2 linked regions of the Ovis aries genome follow. The protein of the gene in region 2 interacts with the protein of the main gene of each other region in a pairwise test. Links are inferred from orthologs where the notes say so. Each region holds a gene or a part of one and is shown on either strand. Other genes may lie near its edges. The genes, in order: glutathione S-transferase omega-2 and TFAP2A.

Region 1 (12,362 bases), on a different chromosome or scaffold from region 2:
AATTCAAACATAGAAAGCAGTATAGAAGGCAAAGGCTCTCCCTTCCTATCCTTGCTCATTTTTTTTTTCCTATCCTTGCTCTTAACCACTTTTCTTTCCCACCCCCAGGCTAATCCCCTTCCAGTAGTAGGCACCAGCAGGAGTCTGATTTGAGTCTCTCCAGACATTTTTCTAGGCGTTTATTTACATGTGTGCATATCACAATAAACTGTGGAAAATTCTGAGAGAGCTGGGAATACCAGACCACCTAACCTGCCTCTTGAGAAATCTGTATGCAGGTCAGGAAGCAACAGTTAGAACTGGACATGGAACAACAGACTGGTTCCAAATAGGAAAAGGAGTACGTCAAGGCTGTATATTGTCACCCTGCTTATTTAACTTCTATGCAGAGTACATCATGAGAAACGCTGGACTGGAAGAAACACTAGCTGGAATCAAGATTGCTGGGAAAAATATCAATAACCTCAGATATGCAGATGACACCACCCTTATGGCAGAAAGTGAAGAGGAGCTAAAAAGCCTCTTGATGAAAGTGAAAGAGGAGAGTGAAAAAGTTGGCCTAAAGCTCAACATTCAGAAAACGAAGATCATGGCATCCGGTCCCATCACTTCATGGGAAATAGATGGGGAAACAGTGGAAAGAGTGTCAGACTTTATTTTGGGGGCTCCAAAATCACTGCAGATGGTGACTGCAGCCATGAAATTAAAAGACCCTTACTCCTTGGAAGAAAAGTTATGACCAACCTAGACAGTATATTCAAAAGCAGAGACATTACTTTGCCGACTAAGGTCTGCCTAGTCAAAGCTATGGTTTTTCCAGTGGTCATGTATGGATGTGAGACTTGGACTGTGAAGAAGGCTGAGCGCCGAAGAATTGATGCTTTTGAACTGTGGTATTGGAGAAGACTCTTGAGAGTCCCTTGGACTGCAAGGAGATCCAACCAGTCCATTCTGAAGGAGATCAACCCTGGGATTTCTTTGGAAGGACTGATGCTAAAGCTGAAACTTTGTACTTTGGCCACCTCATGCGAAGCGTTGACTCATTGGAAAAGACTCTGATGCTGGGAGGGATCGGGGGCAGGAGGAGAAGGGGACGACTGAGGATGAGATGGCTGGATGGCATCACGGACTTGATGGACGTGAGTCTGAGTGAACTCCAGGAGTTGATGATGGACAGGGAGGCCTGGTGTGCTGCTATTCATGGGGTCGCAAAGAGTCGGACATGACTGAGTGACTGAACTGAACTGAACTGATATAACCTCAGATATGCAGATGATAACAGCACCCTAATGGCAGAAAGTGAAGAGGAACTAAAGAGCCTCTTGATAAAAGTGCAAAAAGAGAGTAGAAAAACTGGTTTAAAATTCAGCATTCAAAACACTAAGATCATGGCATCCAGTCCCGTAACTTCATGGCAAATAGATGGGGGAAAAATGGAAACAGTGACAGACTTTATTTTCTGGGGCCCGAAATCACTGTGGACGGTGATTGCAGCCATGAACTTAAAAGATGTTTGCTCCTTGGAAGAAACGCTATGACGAACCTAGATAGCATATTAAAAAGCAGAGACATCACTTTGGTGACAAAGGTCCATATAGTCAAAGCTATGGTTTATCCAGTAGTCATGTACAGATGTGAGTTGGAACATAAAGAAGGCTGAGCACTGAAGAACTGATGCTTTAGAACTGTGTGCTGGAGAAGACTTGAAAGTCCCTTGGACAGCAAGGAAATAAAACCAGTCAATCTTAAAAGAAATCAACCCTGAATATTCATGCATTGGAAGGATGGTGCCAAAGCTCCAATACTTTGGCCACCTGATGCGAAGAGCCAACTCATTGGAAAAGACCCCGATGCTCGGAAAGATTGAAGGCAGGAAGAGAAGAGGGTGACAGAGAATGAGATGGTTGGATGGCATCACTGACTTAATGGACATGAGTTTGAGCAAACTCAGGGAGATAGTGAAGGACAGCTTCTACAGCCCATGGGGTCACAAAGAGTCGGACATGACTAAGCAACTGAACAACAAAAAATGTATCTCAAAGAAGTATAAAAATAACATGGAAAAATGAGCTTATATAACAAGCACAAATAAACCTTCAATTTTGATGATACTTGCTTGAACGAAAAATATAAAAATCAAGCGGCATTTATTTAAAAAGAGGAAAACGTTAGAGTATAAGGTTGCCAACTTAAACTGACCTGTTTGCTTGCAGATAACATGGAATATTATACACTGGTCTCTTGAGTTGCTTATCACTCAAGACAATCCATAGATATGTAAGATATTTTCAACTCACAGAAAATCCTGATTGTACAAAACCATGGAGAAAAAATTGTACACATCAACTCTATTAATAGAGAGAAAACATTTCTATTAGAATTATTCTGACAAGTTTCAATTTCACTAGAATCTCCTAGAGTCAATATACTGGTATCAAGAGGAATGTATCAAATAATTCAAGCTCAGCGGGCATCTTTCAGATTCTGATATTACCTATGTTGTACTTACAATTCCTACTAACTTTCTATGGGACAAAAAAACAACTCAAATCTGGAACAATACTGCATACTCAGTGATCCTTAATTAGCCTGGCTAGAGTCGGACACGACTGAAGCGACTTAGCAGTAGCAGCAGCAGCAGCCCTTAACTAGCCAGAATTTCACTGATGCTACTTATTACATCTGAGAGGGTCATTGGCAAGATTAGATAACAGGAGTATGCAAAGCAACTTTAGCATCATGCCCAGCACAAAAACACAGGTTCACTTCCCTGGAAGAACCCAAACTAAGGGACTGCGCCTCCACTGTAATATTATACATTTACTTAGCAATCTGTAATTTTCAAAGTTCATCCCTCATTCAGTTGCAGAGTAGGAAGGAGATAGGTCAACGTATGTTTTCAATTATCTTTGAATTTAAAAGATTTTGTTTCAGGGCTCCTTTCCCTGGCCCAGCATTTAACTCGTAAGAAGGTAACCAGACCTGATAAAATCAGTTCAGCTAATCTTTGAAAATAAAGACCATAAAAATTCTCTATGGGCAAGAGCTATCAAACTTCTTTTTGAAAGCAAGGTCCCCCCCCTCCCTTTTCAAATTCAAGCTTATTAGATGTTTTGTTAAACACAGTGTTGAAAGCGGGGCTGGTCGGGCTGAAGCAGGCGCTAAAACCACCAGCAGACCTCCTCTCACTGGGCCGCCCCTCTGCAAAACTTGTGAACACACCTTTTAAAATACCCTTTCGTTCTATGAATGTGGAAACCAAGGCACAGAGAGGTCCAGAACCTTGATGAAGGTTCTGGAATCCTATAAAGTCAAGCCTAGGAGCCAAGACTCTTTCTACCTCATCCTACTTGCCTCCTCAAACTTAAGACCGCAGTCTGAGTTCTCAGGACCAAAGGCTGACATTTCTTACACATAATGCTGAATCCATAAATGCTAAAACTATATAAATCTGAGATAGGCAGCTGTAACTGTAAATAAATTTAACAGCTTCCACTTCACAAAGGTCAGATAGAAGAATATTAGTAATCAGCCTTCTTTTAAGGGGATAAAAATAGCGTTCCCTGGCTGCCAAAGAATTACAGCCCACCCATAGGGGAATTTATCAGTTTCTAGAACAAAGACAAAGGACGTCAAAGGACCACCTTCCAGACTATAAGAGAGGTGCAGGGTAAGTAGCCCTATTACTGCTAGATACTTGGAGGATCTGATAACAAAGATTGCTCCTTGATCACCCATAGACACTTCCCCCCCCTTTTTTTTTTTTTTAACATTTATTTATTTGGCTGCTCAGGTCTTGGTTGTGGCATGTGAGATATTTTTAGCTGTGGCATGTGGGATCTAGTTCCCTGACCAGGGATAGAACCTGAGCCCTCTGTATTGGGAAGATGGAATTTTAGCCCCTGGACTACCAGGGAAGATTTTCCCCCTTCTTTCTTAATTACAGAACTCTAATTTTATGCAAAGTGGTCCCAGCTAAGAGATTAAATTTCCCAACTTTCCCTGCAGATACTTATAACTTGATGACTAAGTTCTGGTCAATGAAATTTAAGTAATCATTGGACAGAACTTCTAGGAAAGCCTTTAAAGGAGTATGGCTTTTTGCCAGTTTTTTCCTTTCTGTTGTCCTTTCTGTAACCTGGAACTTGGATGTGATAGCTGAAGTTCCAGCAACTATTTTGTTATTTTGAGGATGTAAGCCTCACACTGAAAAATGACAGAACAGGAAGAGGAAAAAAAAAAACCTCAGTCCCTGGTAACTTCATAAAGAAGCCATCAAAACGGCTCTATACTACTGTACCTCTAGGTTTGTGTGTATGTGTGTGAAAGAATAAATCCTTATAATTTTTTAAATCAATACTAGAAGCCAAATACAATCCCTAACCAATATTGACCTTGGACTCAGAAGCAGAAGCTACAGAATCCGTGCAGAGACAGGTCAGGAATGTGGTGATTCTGGGAAAGGAACAAGTTCATCACATGCCCTCCCTTACCCCTAGGCAGATTTTCAAGAAAAATTCCAGAGGAGGTTGCTGCTGCTGCTGCTGCTAAGTCGCTTCAGTCGTGTCCGACTCTGTGCGACCCCATAGACGGCAGCCCACCAGGCTCCCCCGTCCCTGGGATTCTCCAGGCAAGAATACTGGAGTGGGTTGCCATTTCCTTCTCCAATGCATGAAAGGGAAAAGTGAAAGTGAAGTCATTCAGTCCTGTCCGACTCTTAGCGACCCCATGGACTGCAGTCTACCAGGCTCCTCCATCCATGGGATTTTCCAGGCAAGAGTACTGGAGTGGGGTGTCATTGCCTTCTCCGCCAGAGGAGGTTAGTGGAGCGCAAGTATCCACAAGTCAGAGGACCAGTAGTTGAACTTATCAAAGTCTGACAGGAAAAGTATATAAGCCTGTGAAAGTGGAGGGCATCGGGGTGACCAGGGTGTGGACCTGCATCACTTTATCCTCCACATCTGGCCAGGAGAGGGCCCCATTTTTACCTCTTCCAGGTTGCAGAACTCCTGACGCAGGGCCAGCTTCAGATCAGCGCAGTCTCTCCCGCATCTCAATGCCACCAGACACTCCTTGGTCAAATGTGGGACCTGATCGGAGGACACAGGTTCTGAGCAGAGAAGTCCGAGGGCACTCCGTGCTCCTGCTCTGCCTGACAATGCAGCCAGAGCTCTGTCCCTCTGTCCACAGTGCCACCTGACGGCGATCTCTGTGGTTTCGGGAATCCACTTGTCACAGCTAAACAAGGGGCTTTAAAGGGGGCTCTCTGGTACGCCTTACTTGTTCAGCTATTTCCAGACTGTACAATCTTAGGTGGGACATTTTCCTTCTTTAAGCCTCAGTGTTCTCATCTGAAGAAAGGACACAAGAATAGTATCCACCTTAAAAGGTGGGACCTGATGAGGGCAGTGATGGGGATTAAACAGGTTAACCTTTATAAAACAGTTAGAACAGTGCTTGGCACATCACTAGCGCTCAGTAGACATCAGTCACTAATATCATTAAGTCATTTTTGTTTCTTTAAAAAAAAGCTATCATAAAATTTCTCTATCACATTCTCTCCCAATATCAACAGCTGTCCCCTTTTCTCTCTTCTTCACATTTCCTGGGCAGTTGGCACTTTTGTTCCCCATAAAGGGCAATCTCCTTCTGTGCATTACCGTTTTCACACCCTGATATTTTTTTCACCTGAGACCTTGGAAATAGCTCCTTCAAAGTATCACCAGTTTTCCACTCTTTCAATATTCCTTGTCTCAAGTTACACAGTCATAACTATGCCATAGTCATAACTCTTGAGACTGCTCGTTCCACTGGAAAAGTAGCTATTGGCAAACACTTTAATATCAGAGGTCACAGCTTTACTATAATTCCACACTAGTTATCCTCCTAAGGCACACACAGATATTAAAACAAATCAATTTCACCAATGATTTGACTTTTAAAATGGATTGGAGGTTTAGAAAGATATATAAAGTAAAATAGAGTGTTAAGTGTTTTGTTTATTTTTTAATGGATATACCTTATAGAACAGCTCCAATAACATCTTTTGACGAGCTCGCTCATAAGGGTCATATGGGTACAGCTTCCTTCCAGGGTAAGCGTCATCCAGGTACTCACAAGCGATGACAGATTCATAGATCAGTTGACATTTGCTGTTCTCCAGGACAGGAATTTGGCCAAAAGGATGCTTTGTAAAGTACCATTCAGGCTTGTTTCTCAGGTTAATGTTGATAACTTCATGTCTTATAAAGCAAACGGAAAACAGGACAGAACAAAAATGAGAGGATTAGGCAGACACTCATCTTTTTTTCTCCCCCCCATGTGAGATCTTAGTTTCTAGACCAGAGATCAAACCTGTGCCCATGCAGTGCAAGTACAGAGTCTTAACCACTGTATTGCCAGGGAAATCCCCAGACACTCATCTTGAAAGCAGAAACAATCAATCTATAAAATTAAAATTTGCAATAAGTTTTTTAAATTGAGGTTTGTGCAAAGAAAAGTACATAACAACATCACTCTTCTTTTCAAGAGTAGGATGTGTTTGCTGTTTTCTATGCCTTATCCCATTCGCTCTCCATGATTCCCATGAGATAAACTAGGGAATCATGATGAGATGCAAACAAGGGAAGGCAAAGAAATCATTTAACACATCCCGTCTGAGAAATAAGGCTCCTTATGGTTCCATCTCTTGCCCAATATTCCCCACCAGGAAGTAGCAGAGCCAAGATGGAAGGCCAGGCAGTCTGACTCAGAGCTCACAAGCTTAACCACGGCACCACAGATTTTAGTACATTTTAAAGTCTGAAAGTACAAATCTGATATCTGGAGACATTTTTTTGTTCACCACAACTGGAGGGAGGGGGATTCTACTGGCATCTAATGGGCAGAGGCCAGGGACGCTGCAAGATATCCAACAACACACAGGATAGCTCCTCCTCCTCACCAAACACACAAGGCCAAGAATCGTCTGCCCCAAATGTCAGCATCGCCAAGGGTGAGAAACTCTGCCCTAAAGAAAGACTTCTATCAATTCTCAAGCTGCCACTTCATCACTGTGGGTAAAACATCAATCTATTGTTATTTTTTTTTTAAAAAGTAACCTTTGGGCCAACTAGAATTGAGCAAGAGGGAATAACCTGGGAAAAAGCCATAGACAATCCACAGAGCAGAATTACATAATTTTTTTTTTTAAAGTCTCTGTAATAGTCTCTGCATCTCTATAGCACAAAACTCCGAAGTCATCCCCTAATGATACACATTGGAGGCTGGAGTAACACTTTAGCTTTGAGCTGGCTCCATGCAGCCTCCCCCATTCCAGTAAAGTTGCTCTGCCTTCAAAATCCAGACCTCCTTTGCAGGAGCTAGTCTTGCAAAATTACTTCTATGACCAGTGTGCACCCATTTTTCAGGTGTGTGGGAAACGTCTTGATAGCAGTCCTTTCTGCTTCTTTGTTTGGAACTATTTGCTCATTCATTCAAAAAATAGTTTTAAGTGCCTATTATTGGCCAGGTTCTCTTCTAGCCCATGAATAAGAAAGACAAAGTCCCTGCCTTCAGGAACATACATTTGTGTGTGTGCAAGAGAGAGACAGACAGACAGACAGACAGTGTGTATGAAAGTGTGTGGAGGGGCAATGGAAGTGAGGCTGGGGAGTGCGGAGGAAAAACAGGTAAGTAAGGAAACGTTGTTAGTGCAATAAGGGGAACAGAACTGACCTGAGTATACCTGGGGTGGGGTCTGGGCTGCATTTCATAGAGCTGTCAGAGAAGGCCTCGGTAGCCTCCGCGGTCCTCTCTTTCACAAACTTTAGGGAAGAAACCCAGCTCACCAGAGCCATCATTCAGTTTGCTCCGACTGGTCCTAACAGTTTCCTGCAGAGACCTCATTCTGCATTTCAGGATGGCCCACTCAAGAACCCACCTGCCCTCTGCTAACCGTTTATTGACTTCGTCTCAGAAGAAAGTGACAGACAGCCTGTGACACCTAAGCAGGGCGCCCCAGATGGTGAACGTTCCCCAGCGCCTATGGGGCCTCCCGCCACTCACCTGATGCCTTTGGCCCGGAGGACCAGGCGCGTCCTGTGCGCGTAGGGACAGAACCTCATGCTGTAGAGGCGGATTATGCCTTCAGGGACCGGCCCTGGGGGGATGCTCCCTGCGGGTGGAGGGGGAGACGGGGAGGCGGGTTAGCCCTCTGTGGAGAGGGGCTCACTCGCCTTCCCAGAACCCCACGAGGACCGCGGTCCTCCTCCCGGGCCCCAGAGAAGACACTTTTTTTTTTTTTTTTTTTGCACGTGGCTTTTTGGCGGAGGAACCGCGATCCTCCTCGCCGCCGCGCTGGTCTGCGAGCCAAGGACCAGCAACAGCTTCTGCAGAGCCAATATCCAGCCAGCCGGCACCCCCTGCCCACGGACAACTGTCAAGGGGACTCACCTTTCCCCAAGGTCCTGGTCGCGTCATCAGTCATGCTCTCCCGGCGTCTGCGCAACGACCAACGCTCGCACTCTTTGCCGTAAGGCTTGCTGCCGCCGGCGCAGGGTCCAAGGACAGCAGCGTTCCGGCGCGCCCCGCTGGCCCCAAATACAACTTTGGAGCAACAGGGCCGTGGCGGGGTCGTAGGGAAGTGATCCAGGACGGCAGCTAAGATAATTCAACCTGAAGAGACAGAGCCCCAGACTCAGAAGCCAGTGTAGTAGGAGCGGGAAAAACAAACCTGAGAAGTACCCCTTGCTTTGAACTCACAACATCCTGCGCGGTCTTTTCTCTGCATCAAGAATCTGTGAAGAACAGGCATGTGAATTCCACTTATTCCAAGGGAATTTAATACAAATTGACCAGGGTGACACTAACGTTTTCTTTCTCATTCTAAGCCCTCCCTCCTGGCCATACTCTGTACATGAGTGTACTTTATCTTAAAATAAGGCCAAGGATTTCCCTGGTGGCTCAGTGGGACAGGACTTGGATCTCTGATCAGGGAAGATCCTATATGCCCAGAAGCAACTGAGCCCATGAGCCACAACTATTAAGCCTGTGCTCTAGAGCCTGGGAACCACAACTACTGAGTCCATGCGCCCTAGAGCCTGTGCTTCGCAAGGAGAGGCCACATCAATGAGAAGCCCAGGCACAGCAACTAAAGAGTAACCCCCAGCTTGCCATCTATGCAGCAATGAAGACCCAGTACAGCCTAAATAAATTATAAAATAAGGCCAAACTTTTTCATCATCTAGCAGATAAGAAGAAAAACTTAGTGTTAAGATCTTGCACGACCCTAAAGTGTCTCCTTTAATTCTATGTCCTCACTACTCTAGTTCCAGCCTTATTTATGAGATTTTACTCGTTATGAAAAACTAGTAATGAATAGGAAACCAGATATCTAGAGGCAGAGACAAATCTGTGCGCTCTCTTCAACTCCCAGTATACATTTCAAAGCAGACCCTTTTTAATTACCAAGGACATACTGCCAACAGCCCAGCAATACAGAGGTCACTTGGATAGCTCTTCCATCTACGTGAGATAAAGGGGGTAACTAGCCTTTGCTCTGACCCTAAATCACTGCAGATGGTGATGCAGCCATGAAATTAAAAGACGCTTACTCCTTGGAAGGAAAGTTATGACCAACCTAGACAGCATATTAAAAAGCAGAGACATTACTTTGTCAACAAAGGTCCGTCTAGTCAAGGATATGGATTTTCCAGTAGTCATGTATGCATGTGAGAGTTGGACTATAAAGAGAGCCGAGTACCGAAGAACTGATGCTTTTGAACTGTGGTGTTAGAGAAGACTCTTGAGAGCCCCTTGGACTGCAAAGAGATCAAAATAGTCAATCCTAAAGGAAATCAGTCCTGAATATTCATTGGAACGACTGATGCTAAACTGCGACTCCAATACTTTGGCCACCTGATGCGAAGAGCTGACTCATTTGAAAAGACCCTGATGCTGGGAAAGATTGAGGGCAGGAGGAGAAGGGGACGACAGAGGATGAGATGGTTGGATGGCATCACCGACTTAATGGACATAAGTTTGAGTAAACTCTGGGAGTTGGTGATGGACAGGGAGGCCTGGCATGCTGCAGTCCATGGGATCACAAAGAGTCGGACACAACTGAGCGACTGAACTGAAATGAACTGACCGGTGCGTAAAAAGGAAACAGTCAACATACTCATGTCATGTGAGAGCTTCTGGTAGACAAGGAAATGACTCCTGATCAGGTAAATGTGACACTCACATAAAGGAAGTATAGTATTTCAAATAGTTGACTTTCACATAAACAGATTCTAAAGGGAAAGGCCATATGAGGAATGTGAAACTCTCTAAACTCAAAGTAAATTATACTAACATGTATTTAATGCTTTATGTGTATTAATTCACTAAATCCTTAAAATAATCCTACAAGGAGTCTCTTCTTACCTCATTTTAAAAGACAAATAAACTGAGGCTAGCAAGGTTAAGTCACTTGTCAAAAGCCTGATAACTAGTAAGAGGTGGAAGGAGGTTTATGAAGCCTGAAAGTTTGATTTCCAGGGCAAGTCACTCCATCTGGAATCTTATTCTATACCAGAGATGGGCAAACTTTTTCTGTTAAGGTCAAGAGAGTAAACATTTTAGGCTTCTCAAGCCATCTTGTCTCAGCTACTTAACTCTACCCTCGTAAGGTGAAAATAGCCATAGATAATATATAAATAAATGGGCTTGGCTATGTTCCAATAAACCACTATTTATGAATAGTAAATTTGAATTTCATATACAGGTATATTTTAACAAACTACTTTTTAGAGCAGGTTCACAGAAAAATTTAGCAGAATATAGAGAAGTTTCCAACCAACCTATCCCCACACATGCATAGCCTCCCCATCAACATCCTGCATCAGGGTGGTACACTTCTTACAATCAATGGATCTATATTGAAACATCATTATCACCCAAAGTCTAGTTTGCATTAGGACTCACTCTTGGTGAATTCCATATAGTTTTCACATGTTACAAATTATACTTCTTCACTGAAATGTTTTCCCCTAACTATTTTTAGCCCTTGAACTGCAAAGAAATGAGCAGTGGCTTGACTTGACCCACTGGCTTTAGTTTGCCCATCCCTGGTATACACTGATGATGACTGGATTAGCAACCAAACTGAGGATTCCATTTGAAAAGTAAAAGATTCCTGGGTCCATCTTTCTACTACACTAGAAGAGAATATATTTTCATGTTGTGTCTCCTTATTCCCACCTTTTCAATAAAACTGACTCTGAGAGCTGGTAAATATTATTAAAAATACAGCTGACCCTTGAACAACTAGAGATTTCAGGGCACCGGAGAAGGTAATGGCACCCCACTCCAGTACTCTTGCCTGGAAAATCCCATGGGTGGAGCAGCCTGGTAGGCTGCAGTCCATGGGGTCGCTAAGAGCCGGACACGACTGAGCAACTTCTCTTTCACTTTTCACTTTCATGCATTGGAGAAGGAAATGGCAACCCACTCCAGTGTTCTTGCCTGGAGAATCCCAGGGACGGGGGAGCCTGGTGGGCTGCCATCTATGGGGTCGCACAGAGTCGGACACGACTGAAGCGACTTAGCGGCAGCAGCAGGTCCACCACTGTCAGCCCTTCACATCTGTGCTTCTACACCTGCAGATTCAACCAACTGCAGACCATGTAGTACTGTAGCGTGTATTCAGTGAAAAAAATCCATGTATACGTGGACTCTTGCAAATCAAACCCATGTTGTTCAAGGGTCAACTGTATACTTGTATTAATATATGGGAAGTCATGGGGCAAAGGTCTATTTGATATAGTCAGGGGAGAATGGACAAAGGGGTGGACTGTTTTTCCTCTGAAGGGAAGGAATATTATGTCAAGGTTCTCACTTGGCACTGTATTCAAACCCTGACCTTGGCACTTAGGCAAGTTATCTGACCTCTTTGATCTTCATCTTCCTCACCTATAAAATGAGAACACTAAGTACCTACTCGATGGGTTTTGAGTATTAAATGCAATTGTTCAGGTGGCTATCCTCAGTATAGTAAGAGTTTTTAGTCTACTTCAAAATTAATGATTACTCCTAGTGAATAAAGACACATTTTTAATAGTATAGTACATTCTGATTTTATATACAAAAAGATAAAATGCACTATAATTGAGCTTTGCCTTGCACATCAGAATTAAAGTTCAACTCAGAATGCTTATTTCACCAGTTACCTATTTAACAACAATTGAATGGGCTGAATGCTGCAGGTTATATTTCAGTTTTTAATCTTACCACTGAACAATATGGTTACCCTAGAAAGATTTTGTGACATATAAGTTTAACCCTATTTTCTCTTTGAGACTCAGTAAGTACCGCTTGGAAATCCTCTTTACAAATTTCCC
Region 2 (12,362 bases):
CCAAGTAGTTATGAGGGGCAAGTGGGAGGTTCCTCTGGCCTGTTCTCCATCTTCCCTGCCATTCTTTAGGGTTTGGCTCTGAAGATTTTATATTTTGGTTTTCAAAACACAAATGAAAACCTAAAGGGTCAACATAATAAAATATAACTTTATTTTTAATAGTAAAATTAATGTTTCTAGTAAGGAAAAGATAGTATGTCATTCCTTGAGCAGTACACACAATCTTTTATCCAAAAGAATATATTGGGTTTTATTGTGTCATTTGTCTGAATACAGACTCAATGGAATATCTAAATGATACCCTGCTCTGAACTCCAAGTTGAAAGTAAGTTTTTATTATACTTAAGGGAAACAGTGGGTTCAGCTGCTTATTGCAAGGAGCAATTGCCAAGGGAGAGTTAAACTCAATTACTGTAACCATACTGAATAAAAAATACTGCCAAGAACAAAAATACGCCTGGGTAAAGACAGCTACTGAATAAAAAAATCGACATAAAGCGTATCAAATATTTATTTATCTGGGCAACAAAGGACTATGATACATTGACAGGCATGAAAACTACTGCCAGCACAACTCAATACAATACAGCTATAACTGCTTCCAAAATGGCCAGTGAAAATACAGAATACCAGGCGGTCCCAAATGCTTGAAGTTCTTTAACAAAAAGAGAAAGAGAGAGAGAGAGGAAAACATCCCTAACCCTTGGTTTAAAGACAATACTCATTTATTGCTCAAATGATGCTTTTAAGGGAGGACAGTGGAATAAAATAAACTTTTTTGCTTTTCCCCCACAAAAACATAGACCGGTTATCAAACCACTCAAGTTAAATCTTTCCAGGGTCCAATATCACTTTTTATTTTTTTTCCTTTCAGTTCAATGAAAAGCTAAATGTAATACTAATTATTTATAAAATTTTATTTTACTTTTTAAAATTTGTTTGGCTGTTTCATTGTCGTCTTTAACATGCTACAACAGGGCTAAATTCATGAATCCCAGAGGAAAAAAAAAAAAATCCCCTAACCTTGAATTCCTAAATAAGTACCATGAACCACATGAAGAACTAATAGGGAAGATTCAAACCCACTAAACAAGAGGTAAACGAGATCACCAGATAAATAAAAAAAAAAAGGCTTAAAACAGACTCACCATATTTACAATTCCCATTAAATTACACATAAATAAATATATACAGAGACGTGAACACTGATTCCCTTATAGAATTGTGAATCGTGTTGCCAGAGAAAGTTCAAGTTAGTCGCTTTACCTTGAAGAGGGAAAACTTTTACAACTGAAGACAAGACATGGAACTTCTGTGTGTTCAAGTTTATTCACAATACTGATAAAAATGTCATGATCCTTTTTGCCTTTTTTTTTTTAAGTATGGCTACAATCTGAACTGAAATATGTAAGGAAGGTGGTGATTCCATCCTGTGAAACTCATAGAATTATTTTTTAATTTTTACGTTCTTTTTTTCTAAAAAAAAAAAAAAAGTTTTTAATTTCTTTGTTGTCTTTGTGGTTGATTTGTTGGATTAAAAAAAAAAGGTTCACAAATCGGACAGAACTTTTCTTTGCTGGCTTCACGGCCTGTTCGGTTCTCTTAGGCTCCACGCGGGGGCGGGGGCGGGGGCAAAGGGGAGGTGATGCTCATGGGGGCGGTCGGGGCCGGGGCCTGAGGGGTCGCCCCTCTCGCCGTGGAGCGTGGGCCCCGGGCCCCGGGGCCTCCGGACCGAAGGCGACGGCGGCGGCGGCGGCAGCAGCGGCAGTAGCAGCAGTGGAGGGTCGCTGGTCCCCGGCGCTGTCACCTGCCGGCGGCGGGCGGTGGGGGGATGGAGGTGCAGGCGGAGGTGGGCGGGCGCGCGCGGCGGGGCGGGCGGGGCGGGAGGAGAGCCTCACTTTCTGTGTTTCTCCTCTTTGTCACTGCTTTTGGCGCTGTTGTCCGTGTGGCTGTTGGGGTTGTTGCTGAGGTACATTTTGTCCATGGCCTTGAGGGCCTCGGTGAGATAGTTCTGCAGGGCCGTAACCGCGGCGCACACTGCCGGGCTGCCGAAGCCGTGGGAGATGAGGTTGAAGTGGGTCAAACAGCTCTGGATGCCCGGCTCCAGGATGGGGTTGGGCCGCGAGTTCCCCAGGGGCGATCGGTCCTGGGCCAGCAGGTCGGTGAACTCTTTGCAGATCTGTCTGCAGCGCAAGCAGGGCAGAGAGACAGGGGGTGAGGCTCCGTGGGAGCACAACCAGCAGCGAGACAAGACCTTCCTCTCTGCAACCAGCTCTGTCTGCAGGACAGCTGACCTGACTCAGGGCCCCAGAGACAGACCAGGGGTGCAGGGCACAGCTGGGGAGACCCAGCCACCTCTCAGGAGCCATCCACACATCTCCTGCTCCTTACACACTTCCACTAACGCCCCCCTCTCTCTTTCCACCTGTGTGTCTCTCACCTCTCAGCTGCACCAAACTTTTTTTTTCCTTTGCTGTGCCCTGTGGCATGTGGACTCTTAGTTCCCACACCAGGAATCGAACCCGGTGCCCCCTGCAGTGGAAGCACAGAGTCTTAACCACTGGACTGCCAGGGAAGTCCTGAACCAAATTTCTAACCCCCATTTCTCACTCACACCAGGCATCCCTGACATAGGAAGACACTTCACCCATCCGGAGAGAAAGGAAGGTGAGTAGGAAAGGCAGGGAGTCAGAAACACAAGCATCTCTTCCGCAGCCAATAGCCTGCACCCATCAGCTGTCCTGCTCAAAATACTGTAGAGACCCTCTTCCCTGACCTTCCAGCGTGACCTCAGCAGTCTGAGGTCTGGGGGCATGAATTCTCCACTCATTCACCTTCACATCAGGGTGGGTGTGGACAAGGAAGGCAAAACTTTTCTTGGGATTGCTTTACTCTTAAAAAATAAAAGGCACTTGAATACCCAAGTGTGGGGATAATTCAGTGGTTTGGGGAAGCAGAAATAGACATTTCAATTTCCCCTGCCACCTCCTTTCCCATGCATCCCCACCCCCACCCCCACCGCCCCACCGCCCCCCACGCACCGCCACCAAAAAAAATGTCTAGGTAAAACTGTGAGTGTGGGTGTGCTTAGGAAGCTAAGAGAAGAGGGAAAAGTTGAAATACAGGCGATGAGGCCTACAGGGGTAGCTCAGTCTCTGAATCTGGGAAGCTAGGACTGGCTGGGGCCTTCCCGAGGCAGCAGCAGACTTGGGTGGGGGCTTTGGATAGGGGGCTCCACACGAGGGAGGCAGAATGGGGAGTACTGGCCGGCTGCCTCCCCCAAGGCCAGTTGATGTCTCCCCAGGCTAGAAAGTGCCCAGCCAGAGGCCTCAGCCTCTGCCCTCTGGATCCAAGCCCTCCTGGGACATCATCTTTGATAATTACCGGCTTCCAAACAAGCCTTTTAATTTCCAGAAAACATATCAAAACAGTCATTTTCTTTTCACACACCACCTGGAGAAGCCTATTCAGCCCAGGCACCAATGGGAATATAAACTTGGGCCATTTTGAAACTGATTTGACATCTCGCCTGTAGGCTAGAACTTGTGGGCTGTGAGTATGCAGCACTTTTGAGGAGGTCGAGAAAGCAAGGCAAGAAATGGGAGAAGGGATTAGGGTAGAAACTAGGCCAGCTTCTGACCCGAACATTTTGCAAGCCACTAGCTTAATCCTTGCCCTTGGAGAACCTATTGATAAGAGACAAAAACTGACACAGGCAAGTCTGTCCACTCCTTTAAGAACTTGGTTCTGGTTTTCCTAAAATAACAGTCACAAAGCCACACTCAGCTTCCCTCACATCCCCACTATACCCCATTCCCATACATGCTCTTTTTTTTTTTTTTTTTTAATGAGAAGGTAGGGCAGAAGGGAGGGGAAAGAGGGAAATACACACTCATAATCTTCCTTGTATTTCCTCTTTAAGCCCCATCATGGTTTATAAGATTGTGTTGTAATTTCAGCGTTTACAACAACAAAACTGATTAACACAAAAGGAAAAGAGGCCAAAAGTGAGAGCAAAGACGATTTTGATGTTTCTCTTTGACAGTGAGACACAGAGACCCCGAAGAGGTAAATGTCTTACTTTGTAGCCAGGAGCATGTTTTTTCTTGTCACTTGCTCATTGGGATCGGAATGTTGTCGGTTGAGAAATTCAGCTACTGCTTTGGCAGGAAATTCGGTTTCGCACACGTACCCAAAGTCCCTGGCTAGGTGGACAGCTTCTCCTGGCAAAAGGAGGAAGGAGAGGGCAAAAGAATGAAAAAAGCTGGGATCAAGACTTCCAGCTCCCTTATTTTCTTAACCCAGCTGTCGCAGGAAACACAAACGACTTGTTTCCCCACTTCAGGCATTTTCTTTCCTTCTCTGTAGGGTTCTAGCAGATGCATTTCTCAGGGAAAATGGCCACTTACCCTAGAAGGCCAAGATGATTTGAAAATGTAGATTCCATCACCTCCCCACACAGCCTCATCCCCCACCCTGATGACATTCTCCCACAATCTCTTTTAAAACATTTCTTGTGTCCCAGCCTCACACCTATTAACGTGTTCATAAAATGATATTCATAATTACTTCTTGAGCTTTTCTGCAAGGGAACGACTCAGGGTTTACATTTTAACTTTATCGCATATAATTATCTGTTCATCCAAACCGATTAACCAAGAGGATTTGAGGGTCACTCCACTGAGTCTGTCTGTGTTGTTGATTTTCAAATCTTTGGTTTTAATTTCCTGAACCAGTTGGTTTTTACTGCAGGGCTTCCTGCCATTAGCTCCAGCTCCGGAAGAACGCATGCGCCAATTAGAGCATCAAAGCCCTCTCCGCGGAGCTTGTTTCCATAAAATGGAGCGGATCACAAACAATAACAGTTCTCCAGAAACTGCCTCCCTGCTATGGGACTCAACCCCCAGACCCATGCACACTACACCCAAAATCATTACTACTATTTTTTGCTTTTGGGTCTGAATGGTGGGTTCCCAGGGCACCGGTATTATTTTTAATACAGTGCTACTGTAGATAAGTTTCTGCAACTGAACGATTGCTTATTCCTTAACAGTTACATGAGTTATCATTTTTGACACCATTAACAAGTGGTTCACAGGATTTCTCCTCAAATTTGTGTTTTTAAATATTTTAAAAATTATTTACAATGTGAGAACCTGAACTGTTATACAATATCTTCTCAAATACAAGATATAAGTAAGATAAAGTGCCATCTTTAAATATAAATGGTGGTTTTGAAATCTGCACCATAACTTAAGTTCCTTTTTTTCCTATTGGCATGAGACATTTCCAACAGAACACAAAGGAAAATGCGAGAGAATTATACATTCATTCCAACACACCCAAACTTTAGCCAATTTAGTATCAGACAAACTTAACAAGGATCTGGAGGAGGTACAAATGTGACTACCATAACTGGACTGTGGCATATATCGAAAGGGAGTGAGGACAGGGTGAGCTTTTGTTTTGAGGGGTTTAGAAGCCTCTGTGTGTGTGTGTGTGTGTGTGTGTGTGTGTGTGTGTGTGTGTGTGTGTGCTCGAGGGCACGCTTAAAAAAACTGTCATGAGAAACTTTTTGCAATGCTTATTTCTTTTTTCTTTTCCTATCCAAATAACTCAAAGTCTAAAACTGTTCATTTTTCTTCCTCTCCAGTAGAGAAGCACAATTAAATGAGAGATAAGGGAGCATATGTTTGGAAAACAAAAACCTGAAAGGGCATATAACCCTGAGCTTTCAGGATGGTCTTAAATCAGGATGCAGGTCAAAGATTCCCAAATTAATTCAGGAAGTAATGGTCACGCATTTCTCAAACGCAGATGTCAGAGTAGCTTAAGTGATTTACTGCTGAGCTCCATAAAGGAGACAGGAACTTGAAGAGTATGCAGTTCTTAAATTTTCACATTGTTTAGGTCAAAACTGGGCTGGGGCAGGGGGTGTAATTTGGTAGCAGAGGGGAAGAGGAAAGGAGGACAGGACTAAATGCAAATAGTTTTTTCACATGCAAGAATTCTGTTCACTTCCAGCTACGTTCTCTGGAAAAAAATGAAACTGCACAATTGACACAAAATATAACCAAACATCTGGCCATTGAATAGCATCCACTTTCCCAGGAGAAACTTCCCTTCTTGTTAGCAAGGGAACTCGCTTACCCTCTACTAGTGATGTGAGCAGGGTGACATTGGCAGCTTTACGCCTCCCTGCTGGCAGATTTAATCCTATTTTGTCCAGTTTTTCTCTTAAAGATCTTCCTCCATTTTTAGACTTCGCCCTGTTTCACAAATATATGTGAGAAATGGATTTAGAAAACATTCAGTTGCTCTGCATCCCACTGTACTCATTTTGACAACTTCCTAAAATTCGCTTTTAAAAATTAAGAATCCTGGCCCCTAGATATATAAGGAAAGGAAACCTGGGAAGGAAAGATCATAGGAGATGCATACTTGCTAGACTGTAAAGCACCCTCTGTGTTCATTTATTACTGCAACTATGGTGGCAGGTTAGAAGGTTTTGATTTCCCAACTCTCTAAAGAAGAACCACAAACAGATAAACACAGTTCTCATCTCCAGGGTGTGAAGTATTTTTGAGTTCAACTGATTACTGTATATTTTCCCTGTTGTTACAATCACACAAATCCCAATGGGGTCTTTAAATTGTCTTTGCTAGATCTGCTGTGAGCCTGTTCAGAGTAACCAAAGTTATCATCACTCTCAGGTTTCTTGCTCGGCTTCAGCCCCAGTGGGAAATTCATTTCACCAACTGTTTACATGCCATGTCACCAGCCTAACTGGAAATGTCAAAAGTTGATATCAGCCTTTACAAATGTCACTGAATTCAGAGACAGTGGAGGTGGTTCTAAATAGATGTCTAAATAGACTCCCATAATCAGAAAGTGGTTAAGATAAATTGTTTAAATAAAACAGCAAATTAATTAATTTCAGATTTTATTCCCTACTCAAGTGCTCTTTAATTGTGTGGATTAGATTATACTCCCCTAGGTAAACAGTCTCCAATACTGGGGATGGGGGAAGGGGTAGGAAGAGGCAGCGGCAGATTTAGATGTGTCAGTGAAAGATTACAAAGGAACAGCAAATGACTGTGAAGGAGGAAGAAAAGAGTAGAACAGCTGATGCTAAAATCTGTCCAAAAACGGTTCTGTAAGCCTTTGTATAGGATATACCCATCACAGCAGAACTCCGGGTCTATATACAGCTATATGTGTACACGTCAAAGAATGAAGTGTGGGGCCCACTTTCTTATTAAAAACTAGAAAGAAGTAGGAAATATCTGGGACCGTTCAACGCAAGACCCACCACACACAACCCTGGCTGGGACCCCAAGAAGTAAAAAGCCCACAGGAGGGACAAACTGCCCTCAGGGAAGGTGCTTCACCTCGCTGACCCTCATAAAACCTTATCTAGGAAACGAATCATTCCAACCTCGCGCGCGTTGAGATGAGAATTCCTGACCACGTAAGCAACATGCAGTCGTAGGTAGCGACCGCACAAAACGCACGTAACCGTGCCGTGCACGCAGGCTGGCACGTGCGGACGCGGCGCATCCGAATTATTAGTGCAAGTCCCTCGGGCCCGTGAAGCCTGGGGAGACGGGGACGCGGGGGCGTGGCGCGCTGACTCTAAAACCATCGTCTTCTGCTTAAAACCCTATTCAAGGGCCGCAAGCCCTCTGCGATCAGAGACCTTGCATGCAGGCAAGGCAAAGTGAGCAGCCCGAGATGAAGTTTTTCTAGGCCTGCGACACGGGCGCGAGGAGGGAACAGGCGGATGCACGGCGCCCCGCGGCTGCCGCGGCCGGGACTGAGTCCGCCGCGGAGCGAGCTGCGCGTGCGCGCGGGGAGGGGCGGGGGGCGGCCGAGCGCCGGGTGAGCGCGCCACGCCGGCCGCGCGCCCCTGGAACGACGGAGCGCGCGCGCGCGGGCGGGAAAGCGGCGGAGTGCGCAGGCGCGCGTCGCCTCGCCCCGCCCACCCCACCCCCAGCTCCCACCCACTCGGTTCTACGCTCTTTCTCCCCGCCCCTTTCTTTTCCCGCGGAGGGCGGGCCCTGGCGCGAAGCCTGTTGGCGTCACAGCCCCGGCGCAGGCGCAGTGCTTTCCCCCCGCCCCCCCGCTCTTCACGGCTGCGGGGCGGGGATGGGCGGGGCCATGCCGGGCCTCACCTCCTCAGCACTCCGCCCAGCAGCGAAGCGTTGAGACACTCGGGCGGTGAGAGGCGCCGCTGTACTTCCGCCACCGTGACCTTGTACTTCGAGGTGGAGCTGAGGAGCGAGAGGCGACCCGGAACTGAACAGAAGACTTCGTTGGGGTTCACGACGCCGCCGAAGAGGTTGTCCTTGTTGATGGGGATGGAGGAGACGGCGTTGCTGTTGGACTTGGACAGGGACACGGGGCCTGCGGAGACACATGGGGAGGCCGCGTGTGGGCGCCGGGGAGCCCTGTAGAGCCCCGGGCCCCTTGCCCCAGGCCTGCGCCGCCACCAACCCCCCTTCACCCGCTTCTCCTCCAGCCCCGAAAATCCCATGGCTCCTTCCCCACCTCCCCTAGTCCCTCCGGCTCCATCCCTGTCGGGAGTGGAAGCCTGAGCCCCTTGGCGCGTCCCCCTCCCGCCCCCGGTGACCCCGCCCCGCCAGCCCGGCTCGTCCTTCCGCCGGGACCCTTCGCCCTTTAACCGCTGGGGTGCTGTTTAGAGGTGCTGGTGAGGCGGTGACCCTCTCGCCTCTCCGCATCGGAGGACACTGGGCCCAGAGCCGAGAAAAAAAGCCCCGTGTGCATTCAGGGTGGGGTGCGGGGGAGGCGAGGGCTTCTTCAGTGTTGGGGAGAAACTGTTCAAAGACCCATAATTAAAATCAGCCGAGTCTCCACGGCTAAAGCTGCCTGTAAAAATGAGCATCTCAGTCATGGCACCCAAGCCGAAAAGTGGTGGATTCAAGGTGTCACACAGCGCACACGCCCCAACCTTTTGATAAATAGTCCTTTCCTTACCCCCCTCCCCTTTACGTTTATCTGTGAAAAGGGGTTTTGGAAGTCCATGCCAAGCCCAGTTTTGAATTGAAAAAAAAAAAAAACGGATAAACAGGCCTACCATGGAATACTAGCAATGTGTTCTTTGACGAGCAAAGAGTTAACAGTCCCTACGCTTAAGCGCCTTCTTGGGGGGAGGATATATTCTTACTAGTTTAAATCACAAGCTCTTCATTGTTGGATTCCCCCATACTTGGGGGAAAAAAAAATTCAAGGCCAGCAGGAAGTGGACCAACACGTTACATTTCTAACACCAATATAATTCAAATGCATTCACAACCATTTAAATACAGTATGCATTTGTATTAAAATTCCACATGGAGACATACTACATAATATATGCTTATCTCAGTACTCTCTTTAATAGGGATATTTTAGACGTATAGGGGGGGGTCTCTAGGTTTTGGATAGATCACTTGTGACATTAATAGCTCTGGGGAGGCTAATAGAGACAATAGGAGTTAAACGAACTCTTGAGAGATTACTAATAAAAGAGCCAATTATCATGTCGACTTGGAAAGAGCATCTCTTAAGATTTATCCCTTGCACATCTAATTTGACGTGACAAAGACTTCACAGATGCAAAAATGAAACTTTAAACTCGCTAACAATATACTGATTGGGGTTAGAAATGAGAACAGTTTTATATAGCATCATTCTCTGGTGGTGCCTTGAATCCTGAAATGTAACGTTGCCACTATAACCAAGTGGGGGGGGGGGAAGCTGCTGTGAATAGCATTTAATCCAGTAAACTTTATTTTACTCACTAAACACAACATAAATTACAAATCTATCCAAATCACTTGACACTTTTAAAAAACAATTTCTGCTCAGAACAGTTATGCTAATAAACCTGACATCTTCAAGAGGCTCATTTTAACCAAACGCCAAATTTTTGCTAACCTAATTCACAAAGTTTAAAAAACCCTTCAACACCTAATGAGAAATTCAGTATAAGAACTTGAAAGGTTTTTTCCCCCTCTGCTAAGGAGTGCTGTCTTTATCATCTGCCCCCATATTAATACTGAATTACTTGCATCGTTGTTAGCATGATGCGCTTCCTATAACACTCATGGCCACTCAGGCAGTGGATTAACTAAACTGTTAAAGCTGTTTCAAAATTGAAATGCCACTTCCAAATCTGCTCAACTGTTACACATTTCATGTGTTTGTCCAGATATCATTAAACTAAATTAAATGGTCAAGTCATAAATCAGAACAAAGCTAGCCTGTTGCCATTACTAAATCATTTGAGCATTGCTGTTCTATGCCTATCTATTCGATAATTCTGAGCCTTTAGGAAATCCTACTTGAAAAAAATAAATACACCTCTGCAAGTTCTTTTAAATAACACTGTGCCTGTAAGGACATGCTTGGAATGCAGAAGGAAATGGCTTACCTTTCTTAATTACAGTTTGATCTGGGATGTTAATACCCGGGTCTTCTACATGCTGCAACAAAAGGATACACATGGATGTAAGTGTATAATCAAAACAAAAGGAAATGAATATTTCGCGCAAGATAGGGGGAGGGGAAGGCGTAGAATCGAAATCCCCCCTCCCATCTGGTGACATTTATATATAAACATCTCATCTTGGCTTATTGGAATTTGGAGCTTTGCAGCTCAAGAGGTTTCACTGTACACCCACAGCCAATTTCTCTACCCCCAGCAAATAATCCACATTTGAAGGAGGTGGGAGTGGGGAACAAAACTTTCTTTGGAAATTAAATCGAGTTTGGGAACACCTAATCTTTCTCACAGCCTGCTCAACCTTTCAAAATACACCTAGCTTTAGTTTGGCGCCTCAGCGGCTTCGGACTTCAGCGATTCCACTGTTCAGGTAGCAAAAACCAGAGAAACACAATAGAAATGACAGAGGCGGGAGTGGCCTGGGAGTCCCGAAAACGTTTTAGGTGATGTGATAAAGAGCTAACGTGTTTGTGCACCTTCACTTACAGAGAAACAAACAAAAAATTTAAGGACTACTGTCTAAATTGAATATCAAATATCAAATTGGATATGAAAACGATAAAAAGAAGGGAGGGGGCAGCCTTTGAGGTTTCCCTGCTGTGTCCAACAGCAGATTTGTTAGTGTGGCCTTCTTTCTTCCCTTTTTTTTTTTTTTTTTTTTTTACAGATGGGTGGGTATACGTGTGCTACAGTCAAAACGTGATTAGAAAGTAAAATGAAATCATGTTTTCTAATGCAGAAACTGACAGGCAATATAATGTCTGGCTGTGTTTACAAATTAGCACCAGGGCTGCTGAGATAGAAGATTTCGCAATCGTTACCAAACGCAGACATTACCATTTAAAAAAACTATTACTTCCTTCTCTAGTCTTTGTCCAACAATAATACTGATTCGAACATTTTCCATTCTGTCTTGGATTTATGCTCCTGTTAATTGTGCCTGATCGCAATGATTCCGGGTGGATGGTACTAAGTTGCTTTATTACAGGTTTTATTATACTCAATGCTCTCATTTGTAACTTGCCTAAAGTGCTTCTGGATTTAAGTATAATTAAATTGAGAAATGTTCAGAAATGACTACTGCTGCAGTTCTTGTGTTTTAACTATATGGGGAAATATGATCCCTTTATGCATGCACCCTAAACCCATAAAGTAAATGTAGTGTGGCATAATACTTTTATTTGTGTTATTTCTAGACCTTGTCCATACAGGGAAGACTGTTAAGTTTAAAACCCCACTGAGATATTAATGATTAAATAATTTTCACCATCGATTTGATTTTCTTAAATATTTGGCGTTCGTTCTCATTAAAGGTTAACTGTTGCAGCAATGGGAAAATTGAAAACAACCCTTTTCCTGACCCAAATTCCTTTGAAAGAATTTTCTCTTAAAAGGTTGGGGGAGGAAAGGGGAAGAGCAGCAACTGGGTTTCCTTGTTTTTATTCGATCTTTTGGTTAATTTCTCCTGTAGGCCAATTTCACCACAAAGAGAGACTATACAGGTGTTAAGAATTCACACCAGCCACTTTGCAATTTTTTGCAAAGTAGAGCAATTCTAATTCACAGTAGATTTAAAAAGCTAGCAACGTTATTTTGCAATTCAAATATTTCCAAGGAGCAGACTAGGATCAGGACTCAGAGACTCTTCGGGAAGGGGAAGATCAAATGGTCACAACTTCCAAGTTTGTTTTTTAATGGCCCTTCTCCCAACTATTCCACCTCTCATTTTACTTTCCAAGAAACGCACTGTGTAATGTGTTTCTAAAACCATGTATGAAAATACACACATATGCATGCACACAAGACTTACTAAACCCCACACTAGATCAAATGCCTACTTTCCTGCTTTCCATGC

What was found.
Region 1: the proteins of TFAP2A (region 2) and glutathione S-transferase omega-2 interact in binary tests that used the Homo sapiens proteins (3 or more experiments, as listed by UniProt). The two-hybrid records come from large-scale screens. The link is inferred for Ovis aries from reciprocal best matches to the Homo sapiens genes TFAP2A and GSTO2.

The regions. Positions count from the first base shown.
Region 1 is NC_056075.1:24,531,845-24,544,206, reverse strand, and holds part of glutathione S-transferase omega-2, read right to left. Parts: intron 8,656-12,362; 5' UTR 8,468-8,655; coding exon 8,434-8,467; intron 8,156-8,433; coding exon 8,047-8,155; intron 6,243-8,046; coding exon 6,020-6,242; intron 5,091-6,019; coding exon 4,989-5,090; intron 1-4,988. UniProt on the Homo sapiens protein: Exhibits glutathione-dependent thiol transferase activity. Has high dehydroascorbate reductase activity and may contribute to the recycling of ascorbic acid. Participates in the biotransformation of inorganic arsenic and reduces monomethylarsonic acid (MMA).
Region 2 is NC_056073.1:44,836,969-44,849,330, reverse strand, and holds the end of TFAP2A (transcription factor AP-2-alpha), read right to left. Parts: intron 10,488-12,362; coding exon 10,436-10,487; intron 8,407-10,435; coding exon 8,175-8,406; intron 6,270-8,174; coding exon 6,151-6,269; intron 4,224-6,150; coding exon 4,082-4,223; intron 2,184-4,081; coding exon 1,895-2,183; 3' UTR 494-1,894; downstream 1-493.